Tribolium castaneum: one gene and its partner. The main gene of each other region encodes a partner of the protein of the gene in region 2 in a complex. Links are inferred from orthologs where the notes say so. Each region holds a gene or a part of one and is shown on either strand. Other genes may lie near its edges.

Region 1 (13,227 bases), on a different chromosome or scaffold from region 2:
CCAGTGGTCAAGTGATTTTATACCCAAACCGTTGAAGATAGAAATATGGTGTCGCGGACTTTTTTGTAGAAAATTTAATTCTCTACAACTTTGATTCTCACAATTTTTTTGTATCTTCAGCCGTAATTACAGCGTTCGCAAAAATGTAAGATGGAACGCAAATTGATAATTCTAAGTGATAACTTTTTGCGCACCGTCGCATATTTATCAAAACGCTGGGAATACGGTTAGAGATACAAAAAAAGTGTAAGGAACAAAGTTGTAGAGAATTAAATTTCCTACAAAAAAGTCTGTGACACCACATTTCCATCTTCTATAATTTAGGTATAAATTTAAAATTTTTCAAAAATTCAAATTTTTGAATGTTTTTGGGGCCTAAACCGTTGACAAAAGAAATACAGTCTTGCCGATTTGTTTTGTGTTCAGAAAATGTTGCAAGTTTGTATCCTAACTTATAGTCCTCCGTAGTCCGAAGTTAGTAAAAAAATAATAATTTTTCAATTATTTCCAGGTCAATAGTTGCAGCAAATTATCTCATTTATTTTGCGTTGTGAAAAAAGAGTTTCAGGTCTTGTATAATAAAACCCAACGTGTCAACAACATTCCGCAAGCTCTCTAAATAGTGTTTTTTTTCATGTGTTGTTTATAGCCGTCCCCAGCATCGGGCAATTAATATATCAATATGTAAATAAAAATAAAAGTGTGTAGAAATATTCAGGCGCCGGCGTCAGATTGTGTCATAAGAATGCTGTTATACCTAAATCAGGGTTCTTGACGTCTCTCAGATGCCTGTTATCTAGATTATAAAATCGAAGCAATCAATCAATCGTCCGCATCTAAGTCGTGTGTCTTTTTTTGGTCACAGAGGCGCCAACCGAAACCCCCTATCGATACCCTCTGACCCCATCCGAATATCATAAATAAGATTTTAGGGGTTTTTTGGTGCCAGTAGCGCTGATTTTATGGGTCTGATGGCATCCAACATGATTGATAAACGCAGATAATTGAAAAAGTGGCAATAAAATTGTCGTAAAATAATTCAGATCGAGCCGGTTTATTGAGCAATTTGTTAATAATTAATACGTGACGTCTGCGATTAGCGAACGATTTTCTTAAGGGGGTCGCGTACGTCACCAGGCGGCGCCACCAACGCATTTATAAATTTGGTAACGAATGATTATTTTTAACCGATGGCTGGAATTTTCGGAATTTCGAACGAGTGAGGTGATTATTTATGAAGTGGTGGAATTAATTTGCACGACACTTATGCATATTTGGGACCGGTTCGGAGGATTATACGCCCGAGAGTGCCACTGACCTAGGTCACAAGCTTTTTTGCACAGAGGAAATTCATCAAAATTATTACAAATGATAATAAAAAAATGTCAATATTAATGAACGATCTTTTTACAAAAACAGGAAAAATAAAAACATCATTTTTATTGCAATAAATTTCACCAACTACGAACTACGTTTTGTCAAAAACTTAAAATTGTCTGTTACACAAAAAATCAGTAAAGTTAATTAACTACTTTGTTGTAAAATTAATTCACTTTTCCGTAAGAATTAATATTTTTCATCTTAACCTAGAAAATAAATCACTGAATCGAAAAATCGAAATATATATATATATATATATATATATATATATATATATATATATATATATATATATATATATATATATACAGGTATTAGTACTAAAATCAGGCATTTCTGTATTATCAATTTATTAAAAATTTTTCATTCAATTAACAATTTTTTTTGTATAATTTGCCACTAACTAATTTTTCCACAACTCCTGAAGTACTGTTTCTAGTTTTGTTATTATTTACTAAAATTTAAGAGTGAAAAAGTAAGTCATTTTTTTAAAATAATGCTTTAAAAAACCACAGGCTGTTCCGTCTAAACCAACATTAAAAGTATAGAAGGTTCTAATAAAGATATTTATCTGAAAGTTGGTACCCAGCCATAATCCGTTAAGTTCTGCTCAATAAAAATATTTTTAAGATGGCGGCACTTCCGGCTATACCGGAAGTCGCAATCACCTTTCTTATTTTAAATGGAAAGCTATGTTTTTCACTACGTTTTTGGATTAGTTGAGTTATTTTAAGGCCGTTTTTATCAGCTTTCCCTAGACCTAGGTTTAACCGTTTCCGAGATATTTAAGATTTTTTGAAAATTTTTGGATTTGCACCTGATACGTAAAAAATCGGTAACTCTCTTAGTTTTAGAGATTTCTAAATCATATTTGGAGAATTAAAAAATGAAAGCCTATATTTGTTCTCCAGTGTGTTCAAAATTGGAAAAGAAATTAACAAACCCAAAAATTTTAAGGTTAAATTTGGACAACTTCAAGTACCCATAACTTAAGTTTTTCAAATGGGATGTTCTAATTTTTATTTTACTAGATTGAGGAGAATTTTTTTCTGGATCGATCTGTATTAGCATTCCCTATACCCATCTGTGATAATTTTCAAGTTATGTTGTTTTTTTTGAAATTGTAGACAATTTCATACTAACCACAGTGATTTATGCATATTTTGCCGTAAAAACATTTCTGATTAAACAAACGTCGAATTCTGTTGTTCGTCCCGTGAAAACAAAATAAATTTAAATATTGGTTTAAAAAACTTAATATTTTTTTCTTGTTTTCATCAGTTTTTGAAAAAAGAGCTGATAAATTTCTCAATCCTCACAAAAAGTTATTGTAACTTGAAAACTGTTAAACAAAAGAAATGCTCATACAGATCGATGCAGAATTAAATTGTCTACGATTTATTGAAATAAACCTTGTGGCTTTAGATTTGAAAAAATTGAGTTATGGGTGTTTAAAGTTCTGAAAATTTAACTTTAAATATTCGGGGTTTGGTATTTTTTTTTTAGAAATTTGAAAACACCAAAGGAAAGATCTAGGCTTCCTCTTTCAAATAAGTTAAAAAATATTTCCAGATTTTTAAAAATAGCAGAGTTATCAATTTTTGAACTCGAAGGTGCAAATTCCAAAAAAAAACCCTAAATATTTCGTAAACAACTAAATTTAGGTATCAAAATGCTTATAAAAACTACCTTAAAATAACTCTAGTAATCTAAAAACGTATCAAAAAATAAAGTTTTCCATTTAAAATAAGAAAGTTGATAGCGACTTCCGGTATAACTGAAAGTGTCACCATCTTGAAAAAGTTTGAAAAATTCATATAAAATATGGAAAATTAAGAAATAAAAAGCTGAGAATAAGCTTGAAAACTAGGAAACTACGAGATTGAAAGACTGAAAGCCTGAGAATATAAAAAATGAGAAGTTTGTTAAAAGTTGAATAAGTTGAAAAAGTTAAATAGAACACCCAGTTTTTTGTTTTTTTTTGTAAATAGAGTAGCAATCGACTTTGAAACATTTTACCTTTAATTAGACGTAACGTGTAAATTTATTTTTTTTATTTTCTCAATTACGGCAAAATTATTAAAAAAAATTAAACTACTTTGAGTTAAATCCACGTAAAATGATCCGGGGAATCGACTGACGTCGAGCAAATTGCAACGTTCATAATGACTTTTAAGTTATCAATACATATAAATTTTAGCTATTTTTTCCAAAAAATCGACGTTTTTAAGAAATCTAGAAGATTCTAAAGCCATACTAAAGTCCTTAAAACTTTGCTAAAAATTTGATTATTTTAAACATTATTTAGGCAGTTCATTAGAATTTCGGTCGTAATTTTGGCTCTGTTTAATGTATTTTTATTGTATCTGAAATTGTTTACTGTGTTTTGGAATTTTCACTCGAAACATTTGGAAAAATTCAGATTATTTTAACTAGATCTAGCAACGTGAAATAAATTAAACATTTGCTATCAAACAAACAGACTAAAATTGGGTCATAGTCTAATAAGATATCATTGCAAAATTTTAAACTTTTATCAACAAAGAACAAACGTTACGATTTTTTGCCTCAACTTTTTCGTTACTAAATGCCAATTGTATCAACGTGTCTCAGGTCTGTGAAAAATGGTGGATGCGCCACAATGCAGCTAAAAATAAACTGAGTGCAATAAATCGCAAGGGTTTAGTGTGTCGTTTTTTTTAAATGTGTCAAAGAGAAGGCGGATGAAGCGTCCGTTCTATCTATTAATAAATAAAATCTCGCCGAGTCATAAAATTTATTTTGTGAATAAGTAGAATTCCAACGTGATTATCATTGATTTACTCCTGTGTTTACGTTCAGCGACGTCGAAAATTCCTAATAATTTAGCGCCGCAATGAGAATGTATAAGAGTTTCGGACGTTCGTGTGTAAAATATGTATATTTAACTCGATTTATGGGTTGATGTTTTTGTATTCCTTGATCCAGAAGCGATGTATTTACACAATTTACAGCACGCTTTACATTTTATGAGCGATAATTTGATCGATTTGTTGTGGAAACACGACACCGATAACAATATTTAGATGGCATAAAGGAGACACAAGTCTGAGGACTGATCTAAATTTTCAATTGATAACTGAAACGTAAACAATGAATGAGGTGGACAAGCTGGGCTTTATCTAGAGTCAACAGGTGCTGACACAAACTCAAAATTCATTTAACAAATATTCAAACTTTTGATTTTTTTAAATGAAAGAATCATTTATTTACTTATAAATAATTAATTAAATTAATTAAACATTATTAAAAAATAAGGTGTTATTTTACTCCCCTTACTTCATTTTTGTGCGAAATTGCATAAAAAATAAAGCAAAAAAATCACAAAATCGGATCGAAATAAATTTAATTTCTACGATTATTTTGCCCGATTCGTTTTTGGATAAGAAATTCATTACACAAAAAGTTAAAACAAATGTGTTTTTAAACTTGTCTTGAGATTTCGCTAGAGATGATAAAAAAAGAGCACATTTAGTCTAGCACTTGTTTTTTTCAATTGTTTTAACGCACATTCCAGTCAGAAACCTTATTATTTCACAAAATACTCTTAAAAAGAAGCCTTAAAGTCATTAAAATAGACCAAAAATGGCAAAATTTTTTCGATTAATTTCGCTTGAAGTGAAATTTATTCAAAAATAATTGTGAGAAACAGAGAAACATTTCGCAAAATTTATTCGAATAAAATTTTTTTTTTAGATTATTTGAACAAAAACTGATTGTTTTGCAAGATTCCCTCACAAAATCCAGAAATGTACAAATTAGGTCAAAAATCTTTACATATTTTTTTATTTTGTATTTTTATTTTTTTAGACAACTTATAATGGAAGATGAGAAGGTGGAATAAGACGCTCCTAGACCTTTTAGTTTCGCCGTAATCAGCGTTTGAAAAGTGAAAAAAATGTCATAATTTTTGCGTTTTTCTCGGAAACTATAATACTAAAAATTGTGAATGTTTTCAGAATTTTTCGACCATTCCTAAATTAAATATTATTAAAATATATTGCTTAATCTAAATTATTGATATAGATGATACGTCGTATGATTTTATTTATGACGGAACTCAGCTTATTTTATTTATTAAACAGCAAAAGTATGTACTTTATATGCTTAGGCAATAATGTCAGGATGACTTGATTAAATAGAAAATGGTTTAACAAATTATGATTTGTTAGTGTTAATTTTTATAATAAAAAATATTCACAATAATGTAATGTTTTCTGATATGACCTAGTCCTAGCTAAATGTGTTGTTTTTTATATTATATTTTTGCACGTTTAGAAAAAAAATATAATAAAAATTCATATTACTATTTAATAATAATTCGGCTCACTACGTTGGGTTTTTTGAATTGATTAATTATCTTTTGGAACTAGTGTCATTTTTTTTATGCACTAAACAACATTCATCGTTCATTGTTCGTTTTAGAATTATAATTTTATGAAGCGAATTAATATTAATCGTAGAAAAATTCTACAAAAATTCACATGTAAAAAAAATAATTAAGTATGAAAAAGAAAAAGAAACAGAAACAGAAACAGAAACAGAAATAGAAATAGAAATAGAAATAGAAATAGAAATAGAAATAGAAATAGAAATAGAAATAGAAATAGAAATAGAAATAGAAATAGAAATAGAAATAGAAATAGAAATAGAAATAGAAATAGAAATAGAAATAGAAATAGAAATAGAAATAGAAATAGAAATAGAAATAGAAATAGAAATAGAAATAGAAATAGAAATAGAAATAGAAATAGAAATAGAAATAGAAATAGAAATAGAAATAGAAATAGAAATAGAAATAGAAATAGAAATAGAAATAGAAATAGAAATAGAAATAGAAATATTTAATTTCAAAGATCTTAATTCTGCGATTAACTGATTATATCGGGTGGGTCAAAAGTCGTGGATAGGCTCTTAAGAGCAGCTAGATGGAGCTATACAGAACACTATTTTCGATAAAAAAATCACAAAACCTTTCATTTGGCTGAAATTAAAAACAAAAAATGGCAACGCCGTACAAGTACACCTATTTTTATACATTTAAAAAAATATTAACCAAAAGTATTACCATGTAACATTACTAAATGTTGCCAAATTAAAAAAAACACCAATAACTTAAAAACAATTTTTCAGAAAATTGGGTTTTAATAATGACAACAATACCTTAAAACTTTGAACTAAACAATATTAAAGTATCAAAAGGTAGCATAATTAATTCGCTATTGTTTATATTTATTTTTGGCCATAAAACTTGGAACATCCTGTACAGGCTACAGGGTGCTCAAAAACTGGCGCACCAACTCAGTGGTACGTTATTGAGAAGCAAGTCCATATTACGGGAAAAATGTTGAAAAAATTCCCAAAGTTATATTTTAAAAAATCTGGAGCTACAAACTTATTGTGTTAACTTCTTTAGTTTTCATTGTTTTTTTATATTTTTATGTTTCATACCAGGTAATCGTTCCGTAACAAAACGATGAATAATTATTTTAAAATTTACTATCAGATTTTAGCAGTTTTTTTAATTTAAAATTCATCCAAAAAATCACAATGTGTAGATGTGCCAACACTGGGAATTATTTCCTAGGAAACCGTTTCAAAAATAATTTATTTTTATTGTTGCTCAAATTCTATTACGATCACGACTGTTGGGCAACGTTGCCACATATCACTTATTTAAAATTCGTTATTTATCAATAACTTTAATACAAATAGTTTTTTTACTATTTTTACCATTATATGTAACCACTTCTCTACCACACACCATTGAGTTGGTGCGCCAGTTTTGGAGCACGCTGTATATACTATATACATGCAGGTAGATTCAAAAAATCTCTCGGATGGTGATAAAGCACAAAGTGACTTTAATTAGTTTAGAAACATCAATATTAAAAGCTACACCCATAAATGCAATTCCATTAAAAAAAAACATACTCGTAAGTTTGAATTGTAGCAAATCTCAAAAACATCTTGTATGCCTACTTGAAAATAATTTTGGATTAATGAAAAAAAATAAATTTTCTTACATTTACATGGGACAGCCTGTGTTGGTAATTTTTTGGTCACCTGTATTTTTCTAAGGAAAATAAAACTTAATACTTACGTTTCCATCAGTCGGCATCGAAAAAATCCTGACACAAAAAAACCCACTTACCACTGAGCACTAGGTAGTGAGCGTTTGCGCGTCCAAGGGTTTGTTGGGTAAGTGTGTGAAGGTAAGGTAAGAAGGGCCTGCGGCTTCGGCGCCAATCTAAATGAGGAAGTGCAGTCGTTCGTCGGGCGCCACGTCCTCCTCGCAATAATAAATCTCGTTCTGGCCGAATGCATCTAATTATCTTGGTGGAGTTGCACACACGTTGTACCCCGGGGACACCGCTAGAGATATGGCGGGCAGTGGCGCCGCGCTCCACTCAAGAAAATTTAGGCGCCACCGTCACTCAGTCACACATTGACCGGCTCAAAGCCAACACCAAGGGCCTCCTCCGATGACAACCGCCTTCACCATGTCGGCCCTGCTGCTCTCCATCCTGGGCCTCTCCGTGGGCATCCCCCACTGCCCCATGTGGAAGGAGATCGCGCCCTGCACCTGCCGCATGGACTCCACCAAGCTCACCACCATCCACTGCGACAAGATGACCTCCTACGACCAGGTGGTGCGCCTCCTCAAGGGCCACTTCGCGCCCGAGGACCGCGTCTCGCTCAAGATCTCCTTCAGCAAGCTGGACGACCTGCCCTTCAGGGCCTTCAACGAGCTCAACATCTCCATCGAGAACCTCAAGCTCAACCACGACGGACTGGGGTAAGGGTGATAAATTGACGTAGTGATGAGGATGACAAATGACAGGCGAAACAAACAGATAACCTCCGACCTTCTCATGTTTCAATTACAGCGTCGCCTGCTCGATTATTATCGCTGGTAAATTCATTTTCCCGGAATTACTCGCTAATGGCACGATATCGTCGCTTTAATGAATGAAATCTCTGACATCGACGCGGTTTTTGGAAGCGCTGCTGATAAAGACATTCGCAAGAAATAACAAACGGTAATTGATTTGATGATTGCTTCTCTGAAGCGACTTTGCGGACTTAAATCGGCACACGTTTTCACTAAATTGACCATAATTGCACTTTTCCTTTTGGATTTACTCGGAATTCGGACGTTTATACAAATTTGGACAACCCTTATTAAGCAATTTGGCACTTAGTCAAGCTTTTTTCATTTATTTTTTCACTTTCCAATATTAAAAAATGGATAATTTTGCTGTTTTAAAGTTTGAAAAGCCCTAGATAAATCTGTTTTCATATATGATTGTGTTGTGTACTATTGACATATTTTTAAATTTTAGACAGCTCTAGTACAGTTGGGTACAATTTGCTACTGACTTTTTGACACTTATTGCGTGTGCATAATTTATTCTGAGCTCATATTTTATTTTTGATATTACTATATTTTTTTAATTTGGACAACCCTAATAAAAAGAATATATTATATAATTTATTTTTGACGTTTGAACTAACAAATCAATGTTATGTTCTTTAAAACATTAATTTGATATTGACAAACCTAACAATAATTTTCTTTTCATTTGAAATATTATAAATTAAAACATACACGTTTTTGATGTTGAAAATGTTCAATATACTTATAATTTGAGATTTTGTTACGAATTTGCTAAACCTTAGTCTTCTCAGAATTTAAAATATTAAATTTAATTAATTTGATATTTTTCAATTTTGGACAGCCTTAAGATAATCTTTTTTTTGGACAACCCTTAAATGTTGTTGATAATTTGTCCCGTTTTTATATTTCTACTGCAAAAAAATGTTTAATTTAAATTTTTTATTTGAAGTCCCTTAAAAAAATTGACGTTTTTTACAATTTTGGACAGCCTTAAGATAATGGAATAATCTTTTTTTGGACAACCCTTAAATATTCTACATAATTATTGTTGATATTTAAACAATTTGTTCCGTTATTATATTTCTACGGCAAAAAATGTTTAACTTAATTTTTTTATTTGAACTCCCTTAAAAAAATTCACATTTTTTTACAATTTTGGACAGCCTTAAGATAATGGAATAATCTTTTTTTTTGGGCAACCTTTAAATATTCTACATAATTATTGTTGATTTTAAACAATTTGTCCCGTTTTTATATTTTCTACGGCAAAAAAATGTTTAACTAAATTTTTTATTTGAACTCCCTTAAAAAATTCACGTTTTTTACAATTTTGGACAGCCTTAAGATAATGGAATAATCTTTTTTTTTGGACAACCCTTAAATATTCTACATAATTATTATTTTTATATATTTACCCCAAAAAATTACATACATTTGAACTTCCTCAAAAAATCTCACTTTTTTGTGATTTTGTAAGTCTTTAATTTAATGTTTTCTTTAACAAATTTCGAGAACCTTGGCAATAATAACTATTTACTGTTACTTTTCTTTTATTTGGAATGTTTTTATAATATCTTTGAAATAACAAATCATAGAAACTTTTTTCGTCTATATATTTATATTAAGTAATAATAAGTATAAATAACATTTTGTAACTAACATTTGTACCTATTTTAAAACCCTAATTTAGCATTAAATTTTAATTAATTTGACATGATTTTACAGCCATAAAATACTCGAACAATTATTTTCTTTATTGGGAGAATCTTAAAACCATCTTACGTAATAACAATTGTCTAACTGTCTATTTCTGCCAAAAAAGATGTTTCAAAAAATATTTGGACTTTATTCAAAAACTCATTTATTAATAATTACTTATCTTTTATGTAACTAATTATTATTTTCTTTGACTAATTTTAGGAAACATTAATTTTAATTTGGAGTGTTTTATAAGAAAAGTTCTGAAAATGTCAAATGATACATCTGGACAGCCCTGGAACAATGTCATATAATTAATTTTTGACATTCCTTCACGTAGTGGAATTATTTTCTTCAACATCTTCGTACTTTTATCTTTTTTTTTTCAAAATTTGCCTTAAAAAGTCAGATCATACTTTGATATTTTTTTAAAAATATGGATGGCCCTAAAATAGTCCACATAATTTATTATTGGCCTCTTTATTTTTTTTCGTTTTTTTGTTTCTAACCATATTCGTTTTTTTTAAATTTGTACGCTCTTTACATTTTTTTGTCAAAATTAAAAACTTTTGACAATTTTTTTAAATTTGGACAACCCTAATTAAGTTAAAAAAATTTTTTTAGTTTTGTTTGGACCTTATGTAATCATATTTTAAGAAATCACAAATTTTGGTGTCACTTGTGTCTAATTTTTTATTTATGTTATATATTTTTAAACACTAATCTGAATTAAACTCCGAAAATCGTTACCTTTGACTGTTTCAGATGTTCTAAGTGATAAAAGAGAATAATTTTATGACCACGGAAAATAGAATTATAACATTTTTCTAAGCAGTTATTTTTTTATTTGGACACAACACTGCTAAAATTGACCTTAGGCTGGTCCAGCTAATAGGAAAAGTGATCCAGATTTAAATGATTTGACCTAATTTTTGATTGATATTTCGTCAAGTGTTGGCAACAATTTCGATCAGTTAAAGTTTGGTGGAATTTTGCATTTTGTTCTCTGATTTGTTATTTATGAACAATTGACGTATTCCGATTTATAAATCTTTGATCGCATCAATGCAAATAAAAGGTTAAATGGGTTAATAGGCAAATGTCGAATCAATTTGGAGCTGCAAGCACCTGTTATTGGCTTGATAACGAATAACAAACTGACAATGATTGTGGAAATTGTGGAGTAAATCAAATTGGAAATGTGGCAAAAACTCGATGTAAACATGTTAATTCGGGCGTTCAGATTGACCATTGTGTGTACTATAATGGGACGGTTGAAACAGATGAGTATATTTCCAGAGATGTTGGCGCCATCGGCTATTAGACCATTTGATCAGATAAATTTTTAAACGGACGTGCTCGCAATAGCAACGAGACGAACACAAAAAATACGTGCACTGGCTTTTAACAATTTTCTGGCTTTATATAATTTATTACAGATCGAACTTTGATTTTTATTACAACCGCTTTTTATTGCTCGATAAAAGGTTGAGAAAACTCATAATCATGCTGCAAACCTTTGGTATAGAACTGTTTACCGATTTCGAAACACGTGACAAATTATTGCGACTATCACGAACAACAAATTCATTTCAAACTTAATTTCACTAAAGCTTTAAAAATATATTGACCTGAATTTTAATTTTTTTTTAAAGAGTTTTGACAATGACAATTGTTTTGACAATTTATGAATATTTTTCTTCGTAATTTATAATGTTTTGAATAATTGTTATGATTGTTTCAGTTTTTTTTATTGCTATTTCTTTTATATATTGTATTGTATTGTTTATACAGGGTGCTCAAAAAATGGCGCACCAACTCAATGGAGTGTGGTAAAGAATTGCTTACATATAAAGGTAAAAATAGTAAAAAAATTCTTTGTATTACAGTTATTCATAAATAACTAATTTTAGGTAAATGATATGTGGCAACATTGTCTAACAGTCATGATCGCAATAAAATTTGATCATCAATAAAAATAAATTATTTTTGAAACGGTTTCCTAGGAAATAACTCCCAGCGTTGGCACATCTACAAACTGTGATTTTTTTGATGAATTTTAATTTTTTAAATTAAAAAAACTGCTAAAGTCTTATGGGAAATTTAAAAATAGTTATTCATCGTTGTGTTAGGGAACGATTACTTAGTGTGAAACATAGAAACATTAAAAAATAATGAAAACTGAAGAAGTTAACAAAATAAGTTTGTAGCTCCAGATTTTTTTAAATATGACTTTAGGAATTTTTTCAAGATTTTTCCCGTGATCTACACATGCTTCTCAACAACGTACCACTGAGTTGGTGCGCCATTTTTTGAGCACCCTGTATATTGTAATGACTACTCGTCCATTTATTACATTGTCTACTATAGATTAAAAAATCTGATGGAAATAAATTATATTATTATTTATTATTATTATTATCATCATTATTATTATTATTATTATTATTATTATTATTATTATTATTATTATTATTATTATTATTATTATTATTATTATTATTATTATTATTATTATTATTATTATTATTATTATTATTATTATTATTATTATTATTATTATTATTATTATTATTATTATTATTATTATTATTTCTCAATACAAGTCGCCAAATTATTTTTAACAGATTTTAAAGCAATTTTAAGCCTCGATGAGTCTAATTCGAAGAATAAAATGTTGTATTCAGCTCGTCGAATAAAATTTATTACCATTTAAACTGTCTTTTTAGAAACATTAACAGTTAAGTGTCTTCTCTGATAACTCAAAAAATATTCGACAATGTACATTAAACGATCAATCAAAAAATTTTCAAAACTGTAAAATTTACTGAGGTTTTTGGCGTTTTTTTTTGACAAAATTTAGTGAAATAAATGAGTTTCTAACTGAAAAATTAACGACAAAATTTTTCAAAAGTTTTGTGGTTCTGGTTGAAAAAGTGCAGAAACGTTTTGAAAACAAAAAAACGTGTGCGTTTTGATCTAACTTGGTATTTTTTGAATTCGAATTTCGCGGAATGAGTGAATTTCTGATAAAAAATGCACTAGAAACTAAAATAAATGTGCAAAAATGCTTGAAAAAGTTTGGATATTTTTGACTAAAAATTCACAAATTTGGTGATTTTTTATATTTATGACGAAATTCGGCATAAATTGCGGGTTTTTGAGTCAAAAATGTGCTGAAAATAATAAAAAACGATAAAACAATGCCA
Region 2 (12,231 bases):
GAGGACATCTAACGGTTTTTATTGCACGAAATTACACATGTATATACAATTAATCATCTTTTTCGTCCTCGTCTTTCGCTTTGCGGAACACCAGAGGGCACATTCCGAGGATGCACCCCAGGGTGACCCCCAAAACACGTCCGAAATTCGCCGCATTTCGCGAACAAGTCATATCCATCTGAATTGGCGATAATTTCGGTGGCCGAAAACCTATCTTATTTGCGAGTCGTTCGACGTAGAAGGCCGTGCCGATGCCCAAAACATCCGAAAGCGTGTTACCAAGGGCGGCAGCCGCCATCGTAGTCATGCAGAAGTACGACCCCAAGTACAGGTCAATATAATCACCCTAAAAAACAAATAAAAAAAAAACTACAACAGAGAAAACTGGCACATTTTTAAGTACTAAAAGTTATCAAGTTGGTGGTTTTATCTAAATTGAGAAGTGCCAAAGGTGCCATTTCGTGACATTCCTTCAATTAATATAAAACAAGTGATATTTAGTACTTATTGTCTAATGAAAAGGACATTGTACGAGAGAAAACAAGAGAAAGTGGTGCTTACAAATAGCAACATGAAGAAGTTGTCTAAGAAGCCGAAACCGATGAACGGGATCGAGTTGGCTATGGCGACTGAAATAGATTTTGTAATTTGGCGCCAATTTTAGCCCACTTGATACTTACTGTCGACCAGGTTCCTGCTGGTTGGTCGAGGAACGGATTCGGCTAAAATCGTTCAATAAATCAAAATTGGGGTAAAATCAACGACCTTGACACACTTCACTCACTCGCCACTTCGTAACATGCAAAGCCATGCGAAAAAAATCGAAAACATTCATTTTACAACCCAAAAGCGTTCGATAAAAACCATAAAAATTCATGTATTACGAGAAAAAAATGTAACTCCCTTTAATAAGCGACTACGGAACGTTAGTAATTAATTACCCTATTAATAATTCAAACGGCCCTCAAATACTGGCTTAAATAATTCAGTTAGTTATTCATGCAAAGCTCCTACAAAAGAGCGGAATTTTATTGTTTTCGTACCAAACTTCTTCTTTAACCAGTCTTCGGGAACAGGACAATAAGATCCCGTGGGATCTACATCTCCCAGCCTTGGCAATTTGCTCGGACGTCCAAACTTACTTCTCCATCGTGAAGCTGCTAGTTGACCTTAAGTTTGGACATTTAAAAATAAAAAAGTAGCGAAAATAATCCAAGGACTTAATCGTTGCAAAAAGAGCCTCAGACGTCTGACCCTGTTTTTTATCAGTCATTTCAATTAACCATACAATACAATAAGAGATTATCACTTTTTTAAGTGTCACATACTGATAAAAACCTCGCAAATCCTAATTGTTTAAAAATTTGCCAGTGACTAGGCAAACCTAGTCACACGTGTGTTTTTTGGGTTGCCTACGTCTAACACAAATCGTAGTTTAATAATCGAAATTAAGCAAAAACAGCAACGAAAATGCTACAAATGAACAGAAAAACACAAATACCTGTTCTTTACCTTCGTACTCGTCTTTGACTAGTTTTGATTGGTACTCCTGGAGCGCCGAAATCAGGATATTTCTCTCCTCACCGTTCAGTCTCAAGACCAGTTCCTGCGCTTGTAACTTAGACAAGCCCTGAGTGGTGCTTGTGGTCTCAGCGTGCCCGCCACTGCCCCCCAATCTACAGCTTGTACTAAAATTAAGTTTGATATGTTGTGTTTTCAGTGCATATCTACATGGAGCGAAATTCGTTAGCTTAGTTCGGGGCGTCCAAGTGATGCGGTGCGCCCCCCTGTTGATCACTTTTGCTAAATCTAAGTGTCTCACTAGTTTTGTTGCCATTGTGGGGGCTATTTATTTAGTTAGGGGGAGGAGTATCAACTTGTGGCCCGCACGGAGGGTGTCATTTTGTAACTATGGCACGACTCTAACACCCACACACTCCCAAACGCGGTTTTAGTTCGAAATTGTTTGAAAATTATTTAAATCACTCAGGAATCATCTGAATGATCCCACTCCACCTGTGAGTGAGTGAGTCTAGCGGGCTGACGTCACGTCACGAAACGGCGCCAAGTTTGAAATTGGGCCTATATTTTGCTATTTTTGGCACTTTTTCGTGGTTTTGTGGGGTTAGATTATAAATTAGTTGTGTGCTTGGGTCTGTGATGGCCACCAAGGGCGAAGTTGCAAGTTTGGTTGGTTTATTTAGAGTTTGAAAAAAATTGAGGTTAGGGGGCCACGCGCATGTCCGGTGACATTGCCAAGGTCCATGATTAAAAAAACACTGATTGCAAATCTGTGATTAATTATACGCAATTGCGAATCATACGACACGTTTTGGGGCTGTTCCAAGTGGGTAAGACAATGTCTAAGCTTCCGAAACGGGTAAAGGATAAGGTGAGACTTGGCCCCCTTTTGCAAAAATCACGCGTTTGTGGCTTTAGAGACACATAGGGGAGCACCAGAAGTACATTTCGCGGATCACCAAGACCCTCTATTACGGTAAATTCCCCAAGACAGATGAGCTGAGTCTGCCTGTAACAGGTGGGTGTGTTTGTTGTGTTGTAAGTCAGTAAAAAACGTGTTTTTGTTAGAATTAGCCGCAGAGCTGTTCTCCGAAGCCCAGAAAGGCCGGTCCTTGGACAGGCTGCATTGTGACGATGCTGCGAATATTTCAAGAAATGCCTGTGTGTCCCCTTGCTCTTTGGTTATTGCGATTTTGTATCTAGAACGCTTGAAAAAGACATGCCCTGAGTATCTCGAACGCACGGCTTCGTCTGACTTGTTTTTGGTTTCTTTGGTAAAATTTGAATCACAATAAATTAGCGAAAAAACATTAAGTGGTTTCTAGATGGTTTCATGCAAATTTCTCTATGATGACGGTGAGGCAGATGAGGTTTTTATGAACGAATGGGCCCTTTCAGGGGGCATGAGCGTCAAACAGTTGGTTCAGCTAGAAAAGGAGTTCCTCAAAGCTATTGTAAGTATTCAAGACTGTTTTAAACAATAAAAAAATTGTAAAAAAATAGTATCATACTTAGGGTTATCTCTGATAGTTACGGAGTTATTGCTCGATAAATCGCGACAAAAATTGGAAAAATCAAACAATAAAAAATCGAACATAAGGTCAATGAAACTATGCTAGAACGAGTTTAAAAAAAATTGAATCCCAATTTTTTTTTCCTTAGGACTGGGAAGTCTTCGTTACTGAGCTGACATTTTGGAAGAAACTGTCCGAAATCGAAACGACCTTGGCCCGCAACCAGGGTGGAAAACGCGGCTTTTACACCTACACCGAACTAGAGCGTCTTTTAACAAGCGTCGAATTGCGAAACCTCATCCAAAACATTTTGACCATTTCTGTGATCCTCATTACGGCTTACACGGCCGCCTTATTGACTTTATTGGGCTCTGTCTTGATTGTTAGCCACATTCCGGGGGCTTGTCTTCGCCCGCAAATCGAAGCGCCGCCCTCGGAGCCCCTCTACAACGAAACGAACCGTGTGAGCCCCCTCCATGTCGGAATTTTCCTCGCAAGTATTGAGAGTTTTCTGACACCGTTTTGCAACAAAAGTGAGACTCAAAACGTATCCTGGGACTGGTGGAGTGCCCCCACGATGACATGGCTCTACGAAACGTCGAAATTTGTCGAAGTTGAGGCTCCGACTTTGGGTTTTTTGGACTTGAGACGATTCTATAAGGATTATTTTTTGAAATTGGATTTGGAGGATCAAGTGCATAAGGAGACGAAAGTTAGGATTCAAGACCAGTTGGAGAGGTCGTGGCACGAAGAATGGACGGATACGATAGGTGATGGGTTTTATAACAGGTACCTGCATTACCTACAAAATCTCAAAGCCTGATTTGATTGGTCAATAAAACCAAACATTTGACACGATTGTTTATTCACCAGCCTACTCAAACTACAATTAATGGGTCTTTATCGACACTTGAAACAATAATATTGACTGAATTTTGCAACAAATCACTCAATTGTTTCTGGAAACGCCCCAAAAAGCCCCGTTCGGAATTACTATGTTCGCAGAGAATCACATGAACCCCGTTTTGCGTAGCATCCAGGACTTCATGGTGGGACATTTCCCCCGTTAGGTACAAATCGCTCGTGAGCCCCTTTAAAACCGAAGCCCCCGAACCGGCACACAGCCCCACGGTTTCAATCCTCGCATCTGAAAATCACTTTCGTTTCACTCAATTTCAAGGGCGTGGCTTACCTAAACCTTTGTTCCTAGCCAATGCGAGTCGCAGATGCCCCACCCCGACATGTTTTTTGACATTTGCGACCGCGGTTTCCACAGTTATGGGCGTGTCTAGTGTGAGGATGCGCCCCGCCCCTTGTCTCGGATTTTCCAATGGTTTGATTGGCGCAATGTTTTTAAAAGCGAACGCTGAGGCTAGCCAATCATTAACGCCCCCTTCGACACAATCCCAGCTCGTATGGGGCGAGTAAACCGCAATTTCATGTCTAATACATTGGATTACGATTCGTTCTTTCCAAGTCCTGTGACAAAACGATTAGTTTTGATTGGCTGTGTAATTTGGGGCGTACTTGTCAGAGACTGTTTTAAGGCCTTGAAAGATATTAGGGTGATAGGAGATAATGAGCCCCGCTTGGAAGTTTTTAGCTTCATTGACCACATCCTCAGTGAGGTCGTTTGTTAATAGAATTGTTTTGACCTGTTTGTCGGTCATTGGGTCCACCAGGAGCCCCACATTGTCCCAGCTCTCGGCAAGGGTCAAGGGGGCGTAGGATTGTAAAGTTTTGACGATTTCTTTGACCGACATTTGGGGGCCCGTGCTGTAGTAATTTTTAATCCGACTTAGGGCCGCCAACCGTCTTATTAACATCTGTGGAACGAAAAAGTAATCTCAATGGATGGGCGACAGTAGGCTGTGACGTTCAATTGTAAACAATTGACATAAACAGCCGCCTATCCATCAAAGAAAAACAAAGGAACGTCAAACAATTTTATTCAGGGATAAATTTCCACAATTTAATTTCCCCGTCGTCGCTGCACGACACTAAAATATCACTAAGAAGGGGGTTCCAGGCGACGCAGTTGACATCCTGGGCGTGCGCCCTCTCAATGCAGGTGACTTGGCTAAACGTGGGGGCCTCTAAGTCGCCCCCTTCCTCCTCTTTAAAAATTCTGATAGCGTCGTCACCGCAAGCGGTGGCGATCAAGTCACTTGAGTGGTTCCAAGACACGTCATAGATGGTTCTGTTGTGGTACCCCGACATGGTACACACACATTTCCACGTTTCCTCCGTATTTTGGCCCTTTTGCCAGATTTTCAACGTGGCGTCGTCGCTACACGACACAATCCTTGTCCCCGTTTTGTCCCAACTTATGCTCCAAACCGTTGACTCGTGCCCCTGTAAGGTGGCAAAACAAACCCAGTCGTTGTCTGACTGGTCCTCTTTGAACAACTTAACCGTGTTGTCGTAGGAGGCCGAGGCGAGGATATCGTCATGTGGGTGCCACACGACCTGCAACAACCTCCATAACAACAAAAATCGCCCCCTTGCTACCTACTTTCTTCACATCCTGTGTGTGCGCACTCAACACGGCCGCGCAATCATACTCATCCTCCTCGGCAATCTCCCAAATCCAAACCGACTTGTCACGGCTACAAGTGGCCAAAAATCGCCCCGACTTCGACCAGGAAACACTCTTAACCTCATTTTCGTGCCCCTCAAGAGTGGCATTGCACTCGAACTCGCCCGATTTCTTGTCCCAAATGCACGTAGTGGTGTCAAAGGAGGCCGAGGCGAGGTAATTGCCACAGGGGGACCACGCAATTTCCCGAATTGTGCGTTTGTGGCCATCGGTTAGAATTACTTTATTCGACCACTTCGAGTCCGAGTCTTTCGACCAGATTCGGATGGTCTTGTCTTCGCCACACGAGGCGAACGTTTGCCCCTTCGGGTGCCAACTCACGTCCCAAACGCGCCCCGTGTGCTTGCATAAAGTTTGAAGGGGCTCAAGCTTTGACATTTTGGGGTTAGGGTCGCGAACAACGACAGGGTGGTTAAAAAGTGGTCTCGGGGGACGCACGACGTGCCAAAAGGGGGCAAATGTACTTAAGGGGCTTACCAATGCCACAAAACGTGAAAAAATGGGTGATTTTATTACGTTTTTGCTTCGTTGAGTTGGCCGCACTGTCATTCAATGCAGCCAACGCATGATTATTATTGCGTTTTTTTGCAATTATTTACCAATAAAATTGCGTACTTAAGTGCAAAATCAATTATGTTTCTTCTAAATTAATTGTTCGCTTAATTTTGAATTTTTTTTTCGTGGTTGAATGTGCGATTTTTGTTTTTTTTTGCCGTCGGTGTGGCCAGCCTCATTTGACGTTTACATTTTTTGTGCCGTGAATCACAATCAACTTTGTTTATCAAAACAATCGGTTTTGTGGGTGTTTTGGGGCCTCTTGGCACTGTTGGGTTGATCGGACTCGCCCCCGCCCCCACAACCCATCATTACGATGAACCATGTTACAGTTTTGGAGGAAATCAAAAGGTGCGTAATTTCGTAATTGATGTTTGGGTTTTCCTAATTAGTGTTTCCAAAGCCGGCAATGACACGAAATGCGCAGCCCCAGCGGTGACGCCGCGGCCCCGGCCCCCGAAGCCGCCCCCTCTGGACCTCGATATCGGTGAGTACGAAATTGTAGAAATTGGGGTTATTGTGTCTTAAAGATGAGTTTGAGGCAACGAGGTCACGGCTATGTCGGACCTTGGACGAGGTTTTGGGCGATAAGGGGGCTCTGGGCTACTTTACCCAGTTTATGGAGGCGCGAAACGCCGCCAAATTTATCAATTGTTGGGGGGACATTGAGTCGTTTAAGTGTGAGATAAGTACGGATTGCGACTCCAGTGACACCCAAAATTCGAGTGATTCGTGTGAATCTAGTCTAGTTGAGGGCGCTGTTGCGATTTTTAAAAAGTACATAGCTCAGGAGTCCGCTCACAATGTTAAATGCCCCGAGTCAGTTCGTAACGAACTCGTTGAAAACATTTGTGACTTGGAGAAAATCGCCAGTTGTTTGGACCCCGTTCAGAGTTTCGTTACCGAAGTCATGGAGAAGGAGTATTTTGAGGCGTTTTTAGCCAGCGATTATTTCTGCAAATACCAGATCGATGTTTTGACGAGTGGCCAAGTGGCCCTTGACGATATTCTCTACAACGAAACGGCGCTTTTCTACTTTATGGAGTTTCTCGAACAGGAGAATTCGTGCAATTTGTTGGAGTTCTGGATCGCTGCCACCAACTTGCAGCAACATTTGACCAATCAAAAGGAGTTTTTTGACCCAATTGAGGCCCAAAATGACGCTGTTGTGCTCTACGATAAGTATTTTTCGCTGCAAGCCCATTGTCCGTTGGGTTTCGGCGATAAAGTTCGCTTCGAAATCGAACAAAATATTTGCGGGGAGAACGGACTTGTCTTGGATTGTTTCAAGTTGCCCTTGAAAATCGTCGAACAAGTGTTGGAGAAAAACTATCTCAAACCGTTTTTGGAGTCACAGTTATTTTGCAAATATCTGTCCGAGTTGATAAACACCGTTCAGTCTAACGATTATTTTAATCTCGAGAATAATCGGACGCTTTCGTCCGATTGCAGCAGCGAGAAGAGTTTCAGTACAAATAGCGCATTTCTAGCGTTAGAGTTAAACTTTAATAATAATAATTGTAAAAAGAAGGATAAAAACGCAGATATGAGTATCGACACGAGGCAGTTGTGCGACCCCGATTCGCTCTGGAAGAGGAGACGAACGCACAGATTATCCTGTGGGAGGATCACAGCTTTGGGTAAATTTGAAACTGATTTGGAGCCAGAACCTGATCGGAAAAGTTTCAAGTTTAAAAATGTTGTCAAGAAGTTTGTGAGTCTCGACGAGGATAAAAGGAAGGAAGAAATGGCCTGGCAAGTGGCCGAAATGATCGTCAAAGATATTACAAATGTTACTCTAAATCAGGAAAAACCATCATCTTCATTGTGATAATGTCAGAGAGCTCAAAAATGTTGTATGTACGGCGGCGTGTGATAGAAACTTCCCACTTTTTTTCAAAGGCTGTGTTTCCCCCCGTGAATTGAGTTGGTAGCGCTGCGATCGGATGGCTCTGTAGGTTAGTCATTGGATTTTATTATTTTTGTATGATTGCATTTGTTTGTAAATACTTCTTTAATGTATAAACATATTTATATAATAAAATATTTTAACTAGTTGGCGGTTTTATTTTTATATTAAAAGGCGTAACTCCTTGGATTGAAACATTTCCATTTCAGTCTTATAATGAATTAAACGTATTTGAAATTTAGTTAAAATTCTACAGCACGCCACTGAGATAAAATTGTGTGATCTCGACAAAAAAATCTTCGCAAAAAAGACGATTTGTCGTTGAAATATCTACCCTTTTTTGTCGCCGCTTACGAAATGATAAGGTCAGTGCGGGTTGTGTCTTTCTATGCGAGCGTTGTTACCGCAAGATTTATCGGATAGTGTAACTTAGTGCGAGTGCTTGGTGCAAAAATGTGGTCAAATACCGAATTTCCCGAATTGCGCAAGAGTCACGACACCTTTTTTCAATGTAAGGTAAGTCAGGAGTTACTCCAATCAAACATCTCGCAACAAACATTTTGGTTAAAAAGTGCGTTCAACCGTTTATTTAGGGTGTATCAAAAATACGTGTGTTAAGTTAATAAATCTCTAAAAGGGCCGTTTATAGAAAACTTTCTTAAAATGTAATTCGTTGTTAAAAAGCGCGAATGGACCAATCACATTTGTTCAGTTTGGTCACGTGACCGCTGATTTTGGTCACAAAATGAAAAACCCATTTAATTTGAATGATTTATTCAACTAAGGCGTTGAAAATAACATTTGGCGAAAACTCAGCTCGCTGCCGCCGCTGCCTGGAATGTGAATTATTCAATACTTAATTCTTTAATTGTTTGCCCTTTTTTAATGCTTCTTCTTTTTTTTGCTTACTTGTCTCCCGCCTCCTGGATAAGCAAAAATTAAAATTAACTGGACGAAACACAGCACAAACCCAGCCACGTTTTGAACCTTGAAACGTAGAAATTAATAATTTTCCCACAATTAGTTCAAACTCACAAGCATGAATTCATTTTTTAAAATAATGGCGTACAAAAGCCACGAGAAGGTCACCAAAGTCGCCATTAATGTTAGAACGAAGGGGATTTCAGAGGCGTCTTTTTTCTCGATGATTTCTTTCTGCGATTAAAAGTTAGGGGGCTAAAATGTTTTGTTTTGATTACGTACAACTCCGAGAAGGGGGCTCCCCAAAACGGCAAGCATCAGTATTGTGACAATCAATCCGTAGCGAAATTCGACCACTGAGGGGCTCTCATACTCGCAATAGCCCCACAAGACCGCAACAAAAGCCATGCTTATGGAGAGGGGCTTCAGGATTTGCTTCCACTTGTCATTCGAGTAAAAATAATAGACGATGCAGTAAATTACGTTAAGGACGATTGCGAATAAGTTTACTAGCAGCATGTTTTCGTCCCCAAGCATCAAACCATATTTCAGCATTGCCAACCCTCTTATAATAATTAAAAATTATTATTTTTTTCTTCTACTAAAGATAATTGTGACTTACAACATGATACCGCCCACAAACGGCATCGAATTCACACCGTCAGTGTTGCCTTTTTTGTAAATGTCTCTACAAATGAAAACCCCCGAGAAAAATTGCAGAATTGTGAGGTAACTGGCCACCGTCCCCACGGTGTCTTTGTGGGGCTGTAGCGTCTGCGAGAGTGACTCCATTGCGAACTAAACAACCTGAAACTAATTACGACTTAAATTAACGCTGAATTAAAAATTCTGATTAGAAATGTGACACTGACAATAATTATGAATTAAAAAATTATCCATGGTTATAGAACGATTAACATACAACAAAAGTGTGGTATTTATCACTGCACTAGAGGTTGATTGAGGTCAAATTCATTTGAACCCCTTCTTCCAAATTAAACAACAAGGAGACAATACTCGCCGTTTACGAATTCGCAGCAGTGTTATAAGATATTTTATTATCTAATCGCAATTTACTGTTAAGCCTTGACACGATGACAAGCAAATAAATCCACTTTTGAAAATGTAGTGATTACAATTTTTAGTACTGGATGCAATAATCAATCCAGGAATCGTTTAATTGAGATTGCCGCTCGCAATAATGAAGAATTAATGATCTTCTCGTCATGTCCTTGACTGTGACCTTCGTCCCCTTATCTCACAACCCCATCCTAACCTCACTTTTGACATGTGTCAACCTAACTTCAAAAAAATTGTGACCGACTAAAAGTGCTTAAAATATCGTCAATAATTGGAAAAAAATCACACTTCTAACAACAGAAATGGTGCTTATTGGTACATACCCCACAAAATAACGTTTCTATTCACAAAATGTGAATTAACTTTCTAATAAAAGTGTCAAGGTAAAATAATTTTTTCGCCAATTTTGCAATTTTCCGCACAATTGTAGGTGTTTGCAGTTTTAAAAGAAGTCATGGATTTGTGGAATGCAAAATATTTGAAGCCCCCACCCATCATTAATTGCAAAATCAGCACCAAAGAAATAGGTAAGAGGTCATTTTGATTGAAAAGCGCCAAATTGTTGTTTTGGACCAAGTCACGTTTAAACATTTATTTGGAAAATTAATACAAAGGGAAGAAAAATATTGTGAGGTTATGTCACACCAATCGAGTGATTTTTACGAAAATTGTGCAATTTTCCGGCACCAGTCGGGAAAAAACGCTAGTTTTTTCAAATTATGATAAATTTATACGCTATAGTTACGTAAAACGGGGCTTTATTGCGAAAAAAACTGTCGAGACGTTAGTGAGGTTGTCTTTATTTTTTTATGAATTTTATAAAGGACGCTTTATCTCGACATCGTAACTCGCTTTTGGCCTATTGAAACAATAATTTAAGTTATTTTGGCCCGAAATTCGATGGTAAAAGTGAGGTTATGTCACTTCCAATTTTTTAATTTCTGCAGATATTCGCCTTTTAAAAATTACGCTAACCGACGCTGTGGCCTTTTTCGACAACCAGCAGCACCTCTGCACCGAGGCAGCGCTCCTCTCACGCACCGTCTACCGCCTCAAAATGAAATTTCGTTCCTCTAAAGACTTCAAAGCCGTCGAAAAACTAAGTCGTGTCTTGCGCACCTATCTCCAAATGCAATTCTCCACGACGCTCAAATACGTCCTCGACTTGATCCCCCCAAATTACAAAGTGTTAAAAACATTTTTTCTGACTAAAAACATGATTGATTTCCTCCTAGTTCGCCTCCAGGGTTTGGGTAAAACGTTGTGTCGCGTTTTGGACACTTGTAAGGTGATTTCCGAGCTGACCTTGCAGCGGTTTCGTTTGGGTCATTTTTGGAAAATAGCGGCGATTGTTTATGCAATTACGGCGCGCATTTTTGTGATTACTAGGGGTATTTTTAAGTTTGTGTGTGAGTTGTATGGGAATTTGTTGCCGTTTTCGGGCATGTTGGCCAATGCAGGGGGGCAGTGGTTGCCCGATGGGTACGTTTTCCCTCCCAAATTGAAGGATTGGTTGGGGGTTGATTGGCTGAATTTGGAGGATAATGTGATTGAGATACCAGACGATGAGCCGAGTGTCGCATTTTTCAAGTTATTGGATGATTCCGATGATGAGGTCGAGTTTTGTGATGAGTATATTGTGGTGAACGACGAACCTTCAGTTCAGGAAGTCAAAGATTCGGATGTTGAATTGTGTGAAGATAATGTTAGCAAGGAAGAAGAATCGGATAATGAGGTTGATGTCGGGGAATTGGTCATAGTTTGTGATAATAAAGATAAGGCACAGATTCATGACGATGTTGATGTTGGGGATCTTGTCATAGTGTGCGACAATTCGAAAAATGGGACGAAAGGTCGGAAGAGACCTTTGGAAAAGCGCGAAAATTCAAGTGTCATTGTTTTAAATGATAGTGTATCAGAACCGAAACGGAAGAAGAGGAAGCGCAAGCGCAAGAATCAAATAAATAACTAATCTTGTTACCACATTTGTATTTTTTGTTACGAATAAAGAGTATTTTTGAAAATGTTGTTTGGAATTAAACTTTGTTATACACGACGATGAAGATACAGAAACAATCTCTTCATCGTCTTGTATAATAACCAATAACTTTTTGACCTTTACTACGTATCAT

What was found.
Region 1: the proteins of Ciao1 (region 2) and galla-2 are in contact, whole or in part, in a crystal structure (PDB 6TBN), measured with the Drosophila melanogaster proteins. The link is inferred for Tribolium castaneum from reciprocal best matches to the Drosophila melanogaster genes Ciao1 and galla-2. Residues at the interface, in NP_610996.1 of Drosophila melanogaster: Arg16, Trp18, Arg60, Thr61, Arg63, Phe79, Glu105, Lys107, Arg123, Asp150, Lys152, Tyr168, Asn170, Ser195, Thr196, Trp198, Thr216, Ser248, Gly249, Gln250, His251, Ser252, Arg253, Tyr256, Gly272, Asp273, Asp274, Arg277, Glu299, Gln304; in NP_648416.1 of Drosophila melanogaster: Ser74, Pro106, Lys109, Thr111, Ala124, Lys127, Gln128, Asp131, Lys132, Glu133, Arg134, Ala136, Ala137, Glu140.

The regions. Positions count from the first base shown.
Region 1 is NC_087394.1:1,669,645-1,682,871, forward strand, and holds the start of galla-2 (MIP18 family protein galla-2), read right to left. Parts: upstream 7,676-13,227; 5' UTR 7,541-7,675; coding exon 7,523-7,540; intron 1-7,522. Other genes in the region: ltl (insulin-like growth factor-binding protein complex acid labile subunit), read left to right, coding at 7,905-8,218. UniProt on the Drosophila melanogaster protein: Component of the crb-galla-Xpd (CGX) complex which is essential for proper mitotic chromosome segregation in early embryos. The CGX complex is also required for cell proliferation in developing wing disks.
Region 2 is NC_087395.1:25,656,978-25,669,208, forward strand, and holds Ciao1 (probable cytosolic iron-sulfur protein assembly protein Ciao1), read right to left. Parts: upstream 6,330-12,231; 5' UTR 6,184-6,329; coding exon 5,551-6,183; intron 5,505-5,550; coding exon 4,983-5,504; 3' UTR 4,969-4,982; downstream 1-4,968. Other genes in the region: uncharacterized protein LOC660444, read right to left, coding at 50-346, 562-629, 681-722, 1,044-1,169, 1,513-1,837; protein CNPPD1, read left to right, coding at 2,360-2,392, 2,440-2,539, 2,590-2,795, 2,847-2,975, 3,184-3,858; pkaap (A-kinase anchor protein 10, mitochondrial), read left to right, coding at 6,513-6,540, 6,593-6,676, 6,720-8,020; sugar transporter SWEET1, read right to left, coding at 8,981-9,085, 9,134-9,253, 9,302-9,584, 9,642-9,811; uncharacterized protein LOC135265320, read left to right, coding at 10,554-10,626, 11,047-12,071. UniProt on the Drosophila melanogaster protein: Essential component of the cytosolic iron-sulfur (Fe/S) protein assembly machinery. Required for the maturation of extramitochondrial Fe/S proteins.